Linked DNA regions of Schizosaccharomyces pombe. The protein of the gene in region 2 binds, or shares a complex with, the protein of the main gene of each other region. Each region holds a gene or a part of one and is shown on either strand. Other genes may lie near its edges. The genes, in order: usp102 and frg1.

What was found.
Region 1: frg1 (region 2) and usp102 share a complex: the UniProt entries of both Schizosaccharomyces pombe proteins name them as parts of the spliceosome.

What each region holds. Positions count from the first base shown.
Region 1 is NC_003423.3:3,422,880-3,431,016, reverse strand, and holds usp102 (U1 snRNP-associated protein Usp102), read left to right. Parts: upstream 1-6,537; 5' UTR 6,538-6,785; coding exon 6,786-6,906; exon of another isoform or gene 6,907-6,959; coding exon 6,960-7,229; exon of another isoform or gene 7,230-7,286; coding exon 7,287-7,645; 3' UTR 7,646-7,795; downstream 7,796-8,137. Other genes in the region: U1 snRNP-associated protein Prp39, read right to left, coding at 1-436, 524-691, 737-840, 891-1,077, 1,125-1,216; plasma membrane glucose/fructose:proton symporter Ght2, read right to left, coding at 1,850-3,445; ESCRT II complex subunit Vps25, read right to left, coding at 7,823-8,011, 8,056-8,137. UniProt on the Schizosaccharomyces pombe protein: Involved in nuclear mRNA splicing.
Region 2 is NC_003423.3:2,020,197-2,029,828, forward strand, and holds frg1 (FRG1 family mRNA-processing protein), read left to right. Parts: upstream 1-3,652; 5' UTR 3,653-3,752; coding exon 3,753-3,790; exon of another isoform or gene 3,791-3,862; coding exon 3,863-3,982; exon of another isoform or gene 3,983-4,042; coding exon 4,043-4,501; intron 4,502-4,572; coding exon 4,573-4,693; 3' UTR 4,694-4,991; downstream 4,992-9,632. Other genes in the region: SPOM_SPBP23A10.11C (circularly permuted 1,3-beta-glucanase), read right to left, coding at 1-493; origin recognition complex subunit Orc4, read left to right, coding at 5,347-8,265; RNA polymerase II transcription elongation factor Ell1, read right to left, coding at 9,063-9,632. UniProt on the Schizosaccharomyces pombe protein: May have a role in processing of pre-rRNA or in the assembly of rRNA into ribosomal subunits. May be involved in pre-mRNA splicing.

The DNA.
Region 1 (8,137 bases), 1.4 Mb from region 2:
TTGGGCTGACATCCACCTTGCATATCTGAACCAAAATTCATCATAAAGTGCACAAGTAATTAAACATCTCTCATACAAATGACATATTCTCTGAAAATCTCCCTCCACTTCTTCAAAGTCCAAATATTTTCTCCAATTAACTAGTTGTGCTTCATCGAGTTCTTTAACATGAAAGTAAGGACGTTTAATTTCCGATTCGAACGTCCATCGTTTAGCAGTTTCGAGTTGAACTTTTTGAAAAATTTGCAAATGGATATTATATATGCGAGCTCTCATCTCTCTTTCAATTTCGAGTTCACCGCGTTCAACGGTAATTTGTTTTGATCCAGCAGAAACAACTTTAGCGGGTTCACGAGTTACATCAGCTCTGATAGATGCCAATACGTCAGGAGGTAATAATTGCTGTATTGGTTGACTCTGTGAAACTTGAACGAATCTACGACGTTAGCCTTTGAGCTTAAATTGAATTTGATCACAAAATTAATTGAGACAATTACGAATGTTAATGGTAATTTGTCCGTACCTTTCAAAATAACGAGCGTATTGATGTAGGGGAATGTGTATAAGACGCTCTAATAATTGAAATACATTATCTGGACGCTCCTGACGCTCCTCAAATTCCAGATATTTATCCCAAAATGGATGTGACAGAAAATCCAATCCAACCATGTTCGCACCTTGCATGAATAGCCTGATGAGTTAGTATTTGTCACGTGAAATAAGGGTTTATTCTTACTCCCGAACTTCATTTGCATCACCATTGGTTTCCATTTTAAAAGCGCAATAGTTTGTCCACAAATCAACAGAGTGTGGAATACCAGCAATTCCTCGTTCGTAGATCTATTTTTTTATTAGAAAAATAACAAATCGCATAATACTTGTGTACATACATGCTCTGATGCTTCAGCACCTGCCACAAAAAACTCAAAATCTGCATACTTCTTCCAATAACCAAACAATAGCGGATATTTTCCCAAGAATCGATCGTACACACTTCTTAATGTATTGATAGCCTGTTTCGAAGAGTTTCTGCCAACACCTCCCTCAAGATGTTCTGAAGCACGAACCAGTCCTTCCCTAAATCATAATTAGCACTAAATAAGTTGTATCTGACAACATCCTACCAAGCATCAAAATCATCTGGATTTTTATTTATTTGACGATTATATTTATCCCATTCTGTTTCCTCTGCAATGTAAATATCCCCATAATCCATTTTGGTTCGCAAGTATAAAAGCGCGTAAGGATAAAATGTAAATATCGAACAGCAACGAAATATACTTTCTTCAGCCGTATTCGGTTGAACTTAAATAAATTACAATATTAGTTTAGTGCAGTACATTAGTCTGCCGAATCGTATCATACAGAATAATACGACACTGCCCGCAACGCTGATTTAAAAATTAATAACTAATAAAGTACATTTGGGCGATACACAAGCGTAAAATGATTATTGTTCTGTAACAGACTTACTAATATAATGAAAATTCAACTACAAATCACTGTATAAACATGACTCACTTCAACATTTACAAATATTTATTAACATTGGAAATACTTAGCTACTAAGCAACGAATCAACAAAAACTTAATTAGGTATAAAAAATATTATTTCCTATAATGAACACAAAAACACAAAAATGGACAAAGAATGCACATGTATCTAATATTATATGCAAACGAACATAATCTCAAAAAACTAGATTTAAGATGCACAGTAACTTAACAAATTATCAATCCAAACTTAGCTAATAATATAATATATAGACCCAACGAATCGGAACAACAAATTTTGGATCTAGCTGCCTCACACAATTCATAAATCATACAAAGACGTTTAGCTATTGCCTTATGCGTAATCTTCCTCATGGGAAGAGTATTGTGGAGATGAGTCAGTGTTTGAAGCACGCTCAACATACTCAACAGACTCACCACGGGCACCGCCCTTTCTGGATTTCTCTTTCTCAACTTTCTTTTGCTCAGAATAGTTAAGCTTAAAGTTACCAGATTCCCAGGGCTTGATGACAGACATATACAACTCATTAATTTCTTCCAAAGTAAGACCTTTAGTCTCTTTAGCAAACAAGAAAATAACAATTGCACCGGTCAAATTACAAGAAGCAAAAACGTAACCGTACTTGAATCCAATAGAAGCTTGAATGAATGGAGTAAAGAATGAAATTAGGAAATTCCAGAGCCAGTTGCTAGCAGTAGCGACGGCAGCACACTTAGAGCGGTAACGAACAGGGTATGACTCACCAACAATAACGTATGCGGCAGGAGCCCAAGTTTGAGCAAATCCAAAAATGAAAAGACATGCCATGACAATCATAACGGCACCAGCACGGGTATTTGAAGTACCGTTCTTATGATATAAAGCACGAGAACCGACAGCTGAATAAATGAAAAAGCAAATTGACTGCCAAATACCACCAATGATAAGAGGGTTACGACGACCAAACCTTTCCAATACATACATACCACCAAAAGTGCAGCCAAAATTAACTGCATCAAGAATCATAGCAGATAGGTAAGGAGAATTAATACCAGCTCCTTGCATAACTGAGAAACCATAGTAGAAGAAATAGTTGTTACCGGTCAATTGTTGAAGCGACATAACAAACATACCAAGGAAAGTACGATAACGAATGTCTTTACCGAAAATGCTTGCCCAGCTGCAAGGGCCACCAGCAAATTCTTCGTCAATAGATGATTTGAGACGGTGATATTCATTTTGAACTTCCTCACTATCAGGAAAAAGCTCAGCACTTTCAGAAAGAACTCTAACAGCCTCTTCATCCTTGCCAACTTGAATAAGATAACGAGGGGATTCGGGAAGGAAGAGAATTCCAATCATGGTAATGATACCCCAAAGGAGATTAATACCAATTGAAACACGCCACTGGGCAGTTTTATGAAGTTTGTGAGTACCCATATTGATACAAGCGGCAATGAAAATTCCACCAGTGACAAACAACTGATAAGTGACGACGACGGTACCACGAATACTGGGAGGAGCAGTCTCTGATTGATATCCAGGAGCCAAGACAGAAAGAGCGCCAATACCAATACCAGTCCAAATCTTGGCAACCATGATTTGTACCCAAGAGGGAACAGCGGTAACTTGAACGATGATACCAATGATATAAACAGCACAAAAACCAATGATAGAAAGTCTCTTACCAAAACGATCGGCAATGGGAGAAGAAATGATACATCCAAACAAGGAACCAACGTTAACCATACCAGTTAAAAGACCTTGACGAGCCGAAGACAAAGAATACTGGTCGGTGATCGGGTCATATCTATCAGCATAACGCTCACGAAAATCGCGCATACTAGTAACACCACCAATGGAACCGGTATCAGCACCAAACATCCAACCGGCCATGGAGACGAAAATTAACATAACAAGGGTAAAATTCTTTCCACGCTTGAACCCCATTTTGATAAAGTATAAAGGAATCTAATAAAGATGAAAAAAAACAAAAATTCTATAGAAAGGATGTAAGTGGAAAATAAAAGATTGAATAAAATTAACCACACGTCTATTTCAGTTGCAACACGTTAAGCAGAAATGATAGAACAAAGAACAGACAGTTTATGAGTTAGAGATCTTGACAAGAGATTCTCAATAAATAAAAATTAAAAGAAAAATTAATCTAGATTATGATTTTCAAGCACAGAGAGCTTGTATTTTCAAAATCGGTATAAAGAAAGGGTAACCAAGGAAAGCACAATGCTTTTATTGAGCTTTCTTTGGATTTCGTTCTTGTTTAACCAAAAAAAGAAAGGATTTTTAGGTAAATGAAGACTAAAGTTGCTCTTGCACTTAAAAAGCAAGAATAGGTCTAGGTAAAGATTTTAACAGTCAAGAGGGCAGCTTTTATACTAAATTCGGGAAGAGAAACCCCGACAAAAGTATCAAAAGTCCTTTGCTTTCAGTGAAATTTTAGACAGGATCGCCGGAGAGTTTTTGGTTATACGTCACAATATTACAAGGGCAACAAGGTAGTTAGCAAACTCTTGTATCATTGGACGCCGACTTAAAAAAACGCAGTCACACACAAATAAGAACGAATAAGATGTGGAATAGAATTTAAACGACGTGTATGACGAGGATCAACAGCTCGTTGAAAGTCAAGAACGAGGTAAAAATGTCACGATATCATTAATTCTCCATAGCAAAAAAAAAAATTCAATCGTAAAATGATACACTGTACGTAATGAAACTGATGCATATACTGGGGAAAGACACTATTAGTGAGGTAGAAAGCCGATAACAGGATGAAAAAACGACTTTCAATAAATGTGATGTAGGAATAATTCTCAAAAGTAAAGTAAATTTAAATACTTTGGCGACCGAGGCTGCAAGTTCGGACTGCTAGCAAATACAGAGTGTATTCCAACGTCAATAATTTTAGCAAAGTAACCGAAAAAACCAAGTATATTTCTATACTCCTCATATCGTTAAATCAAGATTGAACACAAAAAAACGTTTCCTGAGGCAAAAGAAGTAAAGTGTCTGCAGTAAAATTAATTCGCAAGGCGAAAAAATAATACCAATGGTGGCCATACGTATTGGAACCAGCAAATATCAAAGTTTAAAACACAGCATACTCTCATCGCTGCATGACTATCTCAAAGCTGGCAATAGAACAATTAACGTTACGGAACCATAATCCTTCAAATTTCGATTGCTTGCATTCTCGAGCTCCACATATTCGAGTCCATAACGGAACTAACCTAAATGCGGAGTTCCTCTAGTATTAACTAGTAACATGAATAGAGCATAGCCGTGCTCTTTTTTTTTAAGAAAACGTCACGCAACGTGTATCTTATCTCTGTCCTATCCAAGTCAGGATAGCTAGGGGCCCCCAACCTGGAGACCATACATCGACCGCGACACCAACCATCCTAGCGAGACTCCCTAACAAGAAGGTAAATATGGATGGACAATGAACCTTTTCAAAAAAAAACAGAATTCTCAAGCGATATATTCGCTCTTGAACAGTTCGGTGTAAAAGGATACTTCTATCCCTTGATTACGTGTACGCCCATACTTCATTCGGACTATAGAAGAAATATGGAGCTGTAACCCGTACTGCAATTGTCTGTGTTAAGAAAATGTAAACGCTGCACACTAAATCATCACTAATTCATCGCTAACTAACGTAGTCCCTAAAAAGTTATGAACTTGGTAAACGACTTTTGAGGCCTTGGGACCTCCTTAAATACGCCCAACTCATTACTAACAAGGTTTGCTATGTCCGTGAAAAGCGCCTATTGTACATATATTGCTCCCATATATGTGAAGCTTTTGCCCAATCATTGTAAGACAGGGTCTTGCTATATTTCCCTACCCCGCTCCATTCTTCCCAAGTCTGAGAAAAACTGTGGAGAAGCCTACCAATTTTGCCTAAGGGGATTTTGATCCCGCCTCTGCAATCTATTGGACGATAATAGCTATAACTACATTTGATTGGATGAAAGACATGTGATGAATGCTGGATGGTTTTGTTGTTTTTAAATGACCACCGATAATTTTTTTAGTTAGTACGCATACATTGATGAAAGCTGAAAAATTATAATAGGGTGAATAAATGAAATTCTTTTTGTGTCTTTTACTCTAATATCGTCTGGCAATTTTCTATTTTCGTACTTCGATAGCGCCATACATGTCTTGTCACCCGTTTTTACGAGCTAGGCTTAGAAATATCTTGGAATTTTTTTTCAGACATGTTGATGATTGGCTGATACTTTTTCCAGTTCTGCCTCCTCCACAATTTGCATCCGCGTTTTCCAGAGACGTTGGGGCAATAACTTTGTCTAACATTAAATTGAAATTACAAGGGTAAGTATTTGAATCAAGACTAACCTTTATACGTTGAATGTCTTCGATATTGTAGAGAATGCCTTGAAAAAAAAATTTTATTTGTGTTAATACAATCTAATATTGTGGAATAAAAAATGGTTTGTGACTGCTCTTCTGTTCTCGGCTGTTGTATTTCTTAATAGGACGGCTCGTAAAATTCGTTATTTGCGCGTCCAGTACACCATCGATTCCCATATTATCCACAGTTTACAAATAACAATATTTATATCATTTTCTTTACTTTGGGTAAACGCTCTCTTTCAGTAACTAAATCAATTGTTGTTTATAAAATTTTTATTCTTTTGTTTGCGCGTTCAAAATTTGTCTGCACGGTAAATCATTAACGCATAAACTCGGTTCTTTTACCTAGGTATCTCGTAAATTATATAAGGATTTGTACCATATTGTAACAAAATACAAGGCAAACTGAATTATTGTACAGATTATCGTATTCACTATTCAAGCATTCGTAACTTTTTCTGCAACTGAAAACAAGATTAATGAGCAACAACATGGTCAAACATAGCGATGCGTTATCGTGTTAAAACTACGTCCATTTATTGAAGTTCTTCCTTTCGCGATCTTTAACTTGGATAAGGAGTGTTTCTCTCCATTTGATATTTGGTACATTAGAGTACTGTATTTTGAAAACAAGCGCTTTTAGAATACATCCAACGAAATATTAATGCTGGCTATAATTTACATTTTGAAATTGAATGTAAAGTCAACCATTACGAGCCATATTTACTAAAACAAGGTGGTACCTGAAAGACTACTTCTTTTGGTAATTAGCTGGAATTTAATGCCATAAGCTGGATTGTCTTCCAATTTTTAAATACTCGTGTTTTTTGATTCATCATAACATTAGTGCCGAAATTCACTGTGAATATCTTTTTATATTTAACATCCAATGGATCCTCAAACAAATTCGCATCAAGAGGTTCAACAACCATCTCCTAAAGAGACAGACTCTCAAACACCGTCAGAGACTCTCTACATACGCAACATTGAAGAAAAAATTCGTCTTACTAGTATGCCACTAATTTAAATTGTTTTAATTTAATTTAATTTCTAACAATCGTAGTGTTGAAACGAATTTTAGAACATCTCTTTGGGTCTTATGGTAAAGTCATAGATGTTCAAGCAAGAAAGACTTTGCGAATGCGCGGTCAAGCATTTGTAGTATTCGACAACTTGGAGAACGCGTCACGAGCGTTAAAGGATTTACAAGGATACCCTTTGTATGGAAAGCCCATGATGATACAGTACAGTAAATCTAAAAGCGATATTATCGTACAAAGAGAATCTCCTGAAGAAATAGAAACTAGGAAAAAAGATAGGAAAAATAGGAGAGGTATAATCTTTTTTATTCTAAAATCAAAGACCTCACTTTACTAACCTTATATTATAGAAATGCTTAAACGGACTAGCGCTCTTCAACCCGCAGCTCCCAAACCCACTCATAAAAAGCCGGTTCCTAAACGTAATGTTGGAGCTGAGCGTAAATCGACAATTAATGAAGATTTGTTGCCTCCTAATAAGGTACTTCTGTTACAAAATATCCCTCAAGAAGTAAACGCAGACGTCCTTACACAAATTTTCGAAGCGTTTTCTGGATTTCAAGAAGTACGTATGGTTCCCGGTAGAAGAGGAATTGCATTTGTTGAATACGATTCTGATAGAGAAGCAACGGTCGCAAAAAATGGGACAACAGGTATGTCCCTCAGTGGAAATCAAATAAAGGTAACATTCGCTCGGAAGGCCTCGTAGTTGATTCTGCAACTATTTTAATTCCCTCTTTCAAATTTTTGTTGCAATAATCATCCAAAAGTCACCTTTCGAAATATATAAAGCTCCTATCATTTTCATAATTGATCATTTGTGTATATAAATTATATAATGCAATTTTGCAGGCCCAAAATTATGTATATCAAGCATGTAATTATGTTAAGCTTTCAGTACCTTGAACCCGCTATATTTTCCAGACGATCCTTTCATTAATTCGATATTTCCTTTTTTCATTAGTAGCTCAAGAACTTTATGGAGGAGTACTTCGTCTAAACAATCTACCTCTTTATATTGTTCTTGAAGTTCGTAAAATGTACATATAGACCCTTCTCGTCCCATATCGGATAGCTGTAAAACAATTAGTACTTTCGACTATGCAGAAAATGGCTTACCCATTTCAAGATCATATTCCCCCATTCAGATATAGACCTCCAGTATACCCAAAACACGTCTTTAGGATTTCGCTTTTCAGTC
Region 2 (9,632 bases):
TGTCACTGCTAGCTTGAGCTTCAGAAGCAGCTGGTGTGGTGGCTGAATCACCATAAACAGCTGTAGTATACATGACCGTTTCGTACACGGTAAGAGTACTGTCGATGACATCGTCACGCTTATGATGAGGATGTCTCTTCATGTGTTGGTTGTTGCTACGCTTACGAAGAGAAGATAATGCGTTAGAAGTGTCGGGATAATAGACTGCAAAACGCTTGAGCTCAATAGGGCCACGGAAGTGGAAGGAGAACTCTTCGTCAAAGGGAGCCAAATTGCCGCCATAAGACTTGGGAGTACTGCTACAAGAGCATGAAGAGGTATCCATGTTGGTGATTTCGTTATAAGTAGAAGAATAGCCAACATTGGTGAATTCTACTTCGGAGGCCTGGTTACAGTAGTAGTAACCATTTTCCTCAGAGCATCCATCGGCTTTAACGCCAGAAAACGCGAAACAAAGGAAGAGAAAAGAAGCAATAAACGACTTGGCAATCATCTCAAGTTATACAAAGAAAAGATAAATATGTGAGTAGATAATAATATACTTAGACGCCGAACTAGGTATGGTTGAGGGGATATGTATGCAAACGCGTCCTAAATGAAAAAGAAAGGATTAGTACAAGTAAGCACTTGCCAAAAGAGAGCGTTTCGATATGGGGTATATGTAAAGAGTAAGTTTTGTAAGAGGCTGAAATTGGAAAACCAAGTTAAAACAATATATTGTTTCCGAAAGTGACAGTCGAGAACAAAGGATTGAGGGAAGAAAGAAACTGCAAACAAAGAGGCTTAGTTTTAGTTCCTCAAGACAAAAAAAATCCTTGTTCAAATAAAGGATGTAATAAAAAACGATTTTGAAAGAGAAATGAGTTCTCAAAAACGTTTGACCAAAAAGAAGTATCAAATCAAGTAATGCCTTTGCTTAGACAATACTCAAAAACCACAACGTATACAGTGGTTTAGTTGAAGTAAAAAAATAAAGGCAAGAACTTTTAGGTTATAAAGATATTTATATTTATATAACCAAGATTACCAGCCTCCTTGACGCAAATGATATAAGTAAGGAACGACTACCAACCAAGATTCACAAAAGTAAGAGTGTGACGAGAGTAAAGGCTAAAGAACCGAAAACACAAAGAGAGAGAGAGTAAAAAGAAAGTGGGTATTTTAGTAAAGAAACGAAGGTGAAAAGTTGGATTTAACACAACAACAACGAGAGTAAGAAAGAACGGACGTGGAACCGGATCAGAAGACCAACAAGTAGTTGAAGTATGTATATATTAAAAGAAAGACAAGAAAGTACTTAAACCACTCCGACTGACCAAGATCCGACACTCAGAAATTTTTTATCCAAAAAAAAGGCGTAGTTAATAAAAGGTAGTTGTAGTAAACAACGGGTTGTCAGGTGTTGTATATAAAGGAACGTCGAGGTTAGGGTTTCCTGAGAGCGTTTATAATTGGTTAAAAAAAAGTCATTCAGGACAGATTATTCGTTAACGAAACTTTTGATTCTAGAGATGACGGGCTCTGAGTGGTGGAAACCATGAGAGCAAAAGCGTACTCTAAAGTTTAATGCAAAGTAGACAGATTTTGATTGGTTTATGATAGGAAAGTCGGAGCGAATTGGAGGAAAGGAAGGTCAAAGTGAGCTGTTGCAATCTGCACGGGTGTACGCTTGCGTCCAGTAAAATTCGTAAAAGGGGTTTAATGAGAAGGCTGCTAATTCAACAAAGGCAAACTGACTGGTAGCGGGGATCTTTCCTTTGTGCTCTCTTTTGGATGGATATCGCTGTATATTTTAAATATATCTAACAATATTATTTTAAGGATTTCTAGACAGTACCGCATGGAGCTGGCCACATGCAATTATTAGGTCGTACTTAGAGTAATAGTAATAGTAAAATCAGGGCAGCATGTTATGTTACATCAATGTTTACAAGATCGCAGAAGTTGTAATAACTAAGTCAATTTTTTTCTATTTCTTTAGTCTTTTTCTTTCATTTGTTGTTTCGCACAATTAAAATTGCGCTCTAATATTGACCTATTTTTACCCATCCTTCTATGGATTGAGATAAACCATATTAGAATGGTCGGGTTCCTGACCAGCTTTGCGATCAGTATGGAATTGTATTGTCTAGCGATGGCGATTGTGTGACAATCAACAATTAATTTAATTATTCAATTCTGAGCAAATTTAGCACTCAGCCCATTTGGACTTTAATGAATCATTACTTTCACCAATTGGACTCCAATGCGTGCCACCTAATTTCATTGCAAAGAAATGGCCATATCGGAATAATGAATGCATATGCTAAATTAAAAAAAAAATTAAATAATAATTTGCGAGCTTATGCTCAAGAAGAACATTAATTGCTGAATTTGTGGTTTAAAACATTGTTTGGCAACTAAAAGTTAACAGATAAATATTTATATTTATATTTATTCACTGAGCATATTAATGGAAAGCTATTGAATTATATTGCTGAAATTCCTTATATGTATATTCTTAATATTATTTATTTATTTATTTAAATTTTATTTTTATGTGGTTGAGGCTTATCATATTATTTATCAAGTCCATACATCCGTTCAATTGTTACCAATGTTTGCTTAATTGTGTCCAAAACGAAATTGTAGATTTTCCATATTTACTAGATATTCACGTGGCCTCAATTTATATATCAAAACCAATAATGAAAAATTGCGCACTTGCATTAATAATTAAACCATTGTTTTTATTTGCCATCAGCAATAATTTTTTGATTAAAAATTTTTTAAGAAAAAAAAAAAAAAAAAAAAAAAAAGAAATTTATTCACCGTGATTAAGAAACTAACATATTACGCATATGGTTAGTATATTAGATAAAAATAAATTCTTATATTTATTATTTATTTTTTAAAAATATTTATTTTATTACAAACATTAAAATTTTCATGTTTCAGCATTTGGTTTAGATGAATGTAAAAGTCGTTAAAAAATAACCTTATTAACTAACGAGTTAGTTTTTTTTTTTTTTTTTTTTTTTTTTTTGAATGTTTTGGAATTTCCAAGTTCATTTGTACAACAATAATCAAGTTAATAGATTAAATAACAAAATTAATACTATTGTTTTTTTATCACTCAAATATTTTCATCCACTTTTGTGCTGTTTTTAATATGCAGGTATTATGGCTACACTTATTCACATAGTAATAAGTAAATTGAAACAGTGCTCATCTTTTGTAAGCTTTCAACTGAATAAGCAAAAAAAAATTCTTATTGTCATCAATGGACTTCCTTTTTTGGAATATGACTCGTCCTTCAACGAATGTTTTTGGTATTGAACAATGCTAGTCTTCGGTGCATACTTCTTCTCTCATCTATATTCAAAATTATCATTCAATTAAGCACATTTTTTTTCTTTCTCAAGCCATTAGAATGTTATGCAAATCATCCATTTTACAAACCAACATTAGCATGGGTCACAAAAGTCACATTGTGAGCAACAGAACATTTCTATTCATATAAAGCATTTCCTTGCTTATTAAAAACGTTTGAACCTCTTTTGTTTTGCTAAGAGTACCTTGCCTATTCCTCAGAACATATTGGATTTCAGCACGAAGAAGCATCTGGTCTGTTCAAATCCTTAACACTACTCCCACTACTTGCTTTTTCCTCGAAAACCACGCATAAATATTTAGTCATTATCCATTATTAACAATTATCATTTTTAAGGATTTTTAATCGTTTAAATTCTTGGTAATTTACTGATGGTAAAATGTCTATGCGATTAACTTTCAAGGGAGACAAAAAGATGTAAGATAAAATGAAATAACTGCTCGAATGTGGTAATTCATATTATATTGTTCATCACTAACAAGAAATCAGTCAAAAGAAGAAAAAAAAGAACACAAAATCACTTCAATCTTCTCTAGAATCAGCTGAAAACGATCCTTTTTGGACGGACGCAAACGAGCTAAATGAGCTTGAGGGTCCAGCGGTTATATAGTAAGCTTAACTTCAATATTCTTATACCTTTTTTTCTAATTTACTTACAACTTTATGTAGTAAAATAGACGATGATGCTGGTGTATCTCTTGGAATTGAAGAAGTTAAAGAAAGTTGCGTTCTTCTTCCCCTCGACAAAGTTTCGCTAGAGCCAGAATTGACGCGCCAGGTGTTTTTGTTATCCATACTGAACAATACTATACTATTGAAAAGCTGTTTAGGTAAATACATGTCATGTAGTAAGTCTGGAGACTTGTATTGTACGCAAGAGGCGGTAGGATCACAGGAACAATGGATAGCGGAGAATCTGGGCTCAGGATTTTGGGCTTGGAAAAGTGTATCAACGAAAAAATATTTAACATTAAGTAGAGAAAAACAAGATCAGGCCATTGCATGTGTCTCTGACACTGTCATTCCTGAAGCCAAATGGAGAATTCGAGTACAAACTCGTTTCCTAAAGAAAAACAAGTCTTCTTTATTTGACAACCCAACCATACATTCCAGACAATTAGAATCTATGTAAGTTATGCTATTCTATTTTATTGGGGTTTCCCTTCTACTTTCGTCATTCTAACTTTGTAATTTTACAGGGCTGGAAGAAAACTTTCTACCGATGAAAAAAAGACCCTCAAAAAAGCGTTTAAGGAAGGAGTTCTTCATGAAGCATTACTAGATTTACGAGTATCTTCAAGGAGCGACAAATATGGTTAATTTTTCGGATATTCTTGATAAACCATTAATATCTTGACTTACTGATTAATGTACGATTACCTGCTGGACCAAAGCTAGCAAAAACAGATTTGATTTTTTCTCTTGAATTTTAGGCACCTTGTATAGCTATTGAGACTCCTTTCAGCTATTCACTACTTTTATGTATGAATTTACAAAGCTTTATGGTAATTACTCATTTCAAAAGTGAAGTGTTTTACTTCATTCCTTAATTTTAACGAACTATTTTTTTTTAATAAAAAATGAATATTTAATGAATCTGTTGAAATTCATTCCCTTCATACATGTATGGTTTTACAAATAAATGCAACAAGTAAATAATTATAGTCATCAGCATCGCTTGAAAAAGATTAAAATAGTTTTAGATTATTACTACTATTACCTAGTCATTATTTCAGCTTCAAAAATATATTTCTATACTGGCCCTGTCCTTAAGGCTGTACGCCAATCTTACTGCTCACCTTTACCAAGAATCGAAGTAACACCCTGCATCTGTCAAGTCAAGAGGAAATTGAAAAAAATAATTAGAAAAGAGACCAATTAATTGCATTTGTTAATAAAAAGGCTAAATTTAGAGGATCATTATTTTTACAGTGTATAAAAACCATAGGGATGTGCATCTTCAAGTTTTTAATATGAGCTCATCCCCATTCACAAATCTTGGGAATTTGGACACAGAAGCAATCTATGAAAATAAGGAAAATGAATACCAGACAAACATAACTAATGAGACCTCAAATGTTCAAAATTTATCAAGTGGTAATGATGATCAGCAGTATCCCAATTCTACGAATGATGATGCAAATAATGGATTAACTGCCTCTCAAGCAAAATTGCAAGATATTGCCGCTGTCACTTTATTTCAGGATAATAATATTTCAACTACGACTTTAGCTCCGCCTTCACCTTCACCTTTGCGTCTCAATGAAGCTCCTCGCAGACGTGGAAGACCTCGAAAATATCCACCAAAACCAATTGACGAAGGATCGGAGCCTATAATCAAACGGAAGCGTGGCAGACCTCCAAAAATAAAAAGTTCTTCTCCTTCCACAAAACTAGATGATCCCTTAAAGCCTAAAAGAGGTAGAGGACGTCCTCGTTTACATCCTCTCCCAGTAGTGCAACCGTCTGTAGATGAGGGAACAACTCAAAATAATCTACAGATGGGGTTAGATGAGCCGAATATCATAGAAGGTTTTGCCGAAGGGCATGCCAATTTAAGTGAGCTGAAGCCAAAGAGAGGGCGTGGACGACCTCGAAAAATAAAACCAGAAGAAGGGAGCTCAAGTCAAAATGGGCTTTCTCCTTTGGTAGTATTACCTGCGAAAAGAGGGCGCGGGCGTCCACCTTTACATCGATCTGAACAGAAGATTGCAAATACTCCAATTTCGAATAATGTAACGGTTGAATCGACAGGTACAAATCTACATACTCATTCACAGTTGAATCCAGAAAATGAACAATCTTCTTCTGAATTCTATTCATTGAATCCACAATCTGAAATACGGAAGGAAGTTGTAGTCACAGATCAACCTTTATTTTCTACTGCAGACGTCCCAGTAAAGCGGAAACGTGGACGACCTCCTTTAAATAAGCCCAAGATACTTTTTGGGACAAGTACTGAAAATAAAATAGATGAAAATAGACCCAAACGAGGTAGAGGAAGACCTCGCCTTGAAAGACCGAGTGGCTTGCCTTTAGATTCAAAATCACAATCCCTTTTTAAAAGAAAGCGTGGTAGACCTCCAAAAATAGCTAGTGGAATTGTACCTTTAAGCGCCTTTACTAGAAAACATGAGGATATGCTTCATGACTCAGACGCGTTGTCACTTAAACATTTTGCTATTACATCTCCTAATAATCAACAGTTCCTTAATAATCAACAGCGAGAATCAGCTCCGTTGCTTCCTAGAAAACGTGGACGACCACCGAAAAAGCGTCAAGAGAATGCGGAAATTCGTAATATCACACCTGGTTTAACCGATTCCTCTGTTCACTCCTCTTCAGCAACTCCGCAATCCGAATCTTCATCACCCAATTCAGTTTCTCCACTACTTCCTTCATCTGACAGATTACCCCTTCTTCGACAATCTCAATTTACACCTCCTCCCAAAAAACCTAATTTCGAAGTTGCTATTATTTCTCCTAAAAAGAGTCAGCATAAACTTTATCCTAATCCTGTCGTTGAGTCTGTATTTAATGACGTCCCATATTCTGAAATTGACTCACAGTTACATACTATTAAATCTACGATTGCTGCAAGGTTGTGTGGGAAAAGCCATATCCCTCTTGTAGGACATATGGATGAACAGACAAAGCTTTATCAATGGGTCCGACAAACTATAGTACTTGGCGAAGGTAATTCTGTCATTATTGTCGGTCCACGGGGTTCTGGAAAATCAGTTCTCGTGGATGATATACTATCACGCGCAGCTCAGGAAATAAATGAAAAAAGTTATGTCGTAAGATTGAATGGTACGTACCAGACAGATGACAAACTAGCTTTGCGTGAAATATCGCGACAATTATCTATTGAACTTGAATCTATCGAGTCTGATGAAGCATTAAAATCAGAAATGAACTTTTCTGATACACTTACAAAATTGTTAGCTACATTGTCTCATCCCGTGGATTTGGGAATTGCAGAAGACGTAATGACAACGTCTGCAGCCGTGATATTTGTTTTAGAAGAGTTTGACCTGTTTGTTCAGCATTCACGGCAAATGCTCTTGTATAACTTGTTTGACATTGCTCAATCGAGGAAAGCCCCGATACTGATCATAGGCTTGACTACTCGCTATGATTGTTCTGAATCACTTGAAAAGCGAGTAAAAAGTAGGTTTAGTCACATGGTAATTCCCATGCGACCACCTTCTTCGCTTAGTGAATTTGAGCAAATTTTAAAATCTGTTTTGTATGTTTCTGACGAAGGCGGAAAAGACCAAATAATAACATGCTGGAACCAGAGAGTGGATGAATTGCTTTCCGATACACGAAGTCACTTACATAAATTGGTACAACATCACTATTTTGCAAGCAGAAATTTAAAATTATTGTATGTTGATTTATTATTTCCCATACTTTCCATGGCACCTGATCGTCCATTACTTGCTGATGAAGACTTCGCCAATATCAGTCTCAAAGTTTCTGACCATAAGGTTGAACTTGTAAAGAATTTAAGTTTGTTGGAGTTGGCTTTATTGATTTGTGCAGTTCGCTTTGAAGCTAGGGATATTCCAGCTTGCAACTTTAATAGTGCTTATCAAGAATATCGACAACTGCATCAATCTTCCGTTATAAATGCCGCAGCATCGGGAGCTCTAGCTCATAGCAGTCGATTATGGGGAAGGGATGTTGCTTTGGAAGCATGGGAAACTTTAGGGTCTATAGGATTGATTATACCGGTTCACCCTTCTACTAATGTTAGTGGTGCCCTTTCTAGACAATGCCAACTATGGCAGCCAGAAGTGGATATCAATGTAGTTTCTGTAGGTTTGCGTGAACATCGACGTTTGCCATCGCATTATTACCGCTGGCTTAAGGAGGTTATATAAAAGAATTGCAATTTTTTTTGTTTCTGTTGTATTTTATTAACTTTGTATCCTTTTTAAATAAAACAATATAAGAAAGGCAAAAATAAGGACGACCGTGTTGAAGGTTATATACCATTACACATTGTAGTTATTACCGATATTTGATAAATAAAAGTTTTAATTTTAATTGATTAAATATTTGCTTCTGATAAACGAAAATAGAATTTACTTTTTTGCTATCAGCGCTGGTTAAGCTGTGAAAGAAGCTGGTCTCCAAATATTTATATTAGATGACTTATGAAGGTAAATCAGTAATCAACGGATCAATGAATACCTAAACATTTTAATGATAGTTTTTGTTTCAGGGTCACTTTGTACTAATGTAGAAAAAAAATTTTGGCGGAATATTTCATGAAAGGTGGTAAGAAAAACAAAATAAATTAGATTAAACGAAAGGACTCATCAGTGGTACTTTTAAGCCCAAAAAAAAGTGATAGCACATAAGGAATTCACGCAGTTTAACTAACTTAAAGATATGTCATAAAAGTTTAAAAAAAGCATCACAATAACAAGATTCTCATTATAAAATCAAAAACAAACTAATATTCAATAAACTGCTAATTGAATATGAATTTAACCAATTTATCTTTTAAACGAAACACTAGCCTTAACGAAAGCAGGAAAAAACAGCCTGCACTCGTTGTAGGCACCGTACAGTATTGAAACAATTTTGAATTGAAGCTGAGATAACCGTCACCTTTATAAAACATTGGAAATAAAACTGAGTGTTAAGAAAACCGGAAATTTATTGAGAAAAGTTAGAGGGCTAGCTCCGAGGAAGCATCGTAAAGTGTATTTTTCCAGCTTTTGAGCTGAGAATGTAGAGATATAAGTTCATCTTGGAGCTTGTTTAAATTAGGATTATTAGTATCATTATTATCATAATATGAAGAGACTTTTAAATATAAATTCTTATAACGCGGATAAGTTTCCCGAAATCTTTTTGCCAATGCTCGCATTTCTTCTGTAGTGTAACGTTGTTGACGACGCTTTTTAGCTATCCATGCATCTTGTTCATTCTTCTTGGGAGAGTTTGCATTGGGTTCAAGAGTGCCGTTGGTAGAAGACGAAGACGTAGGAAACGGGGTGGAAGGCAAGGATTGCGGAGGAGAACGACTTTTTCGTTTGATATGTGGAGATGAAAGATTGGAGCAAGTAGTGGAAGAGCCAGGTGAAGGAATGTCGGAGATAGGAGTATTTAAGTTTGTTGTATCGCTTAATGAAACGGCAGAGCTTTCTGAACCAGTACGAGAAAGATTTCCCGATGTTTTTCGGTGTGAGGAGGGGGAAAGCAAGGGAGAATAGTTTGAAGCGTTGAGCTTGGGTAT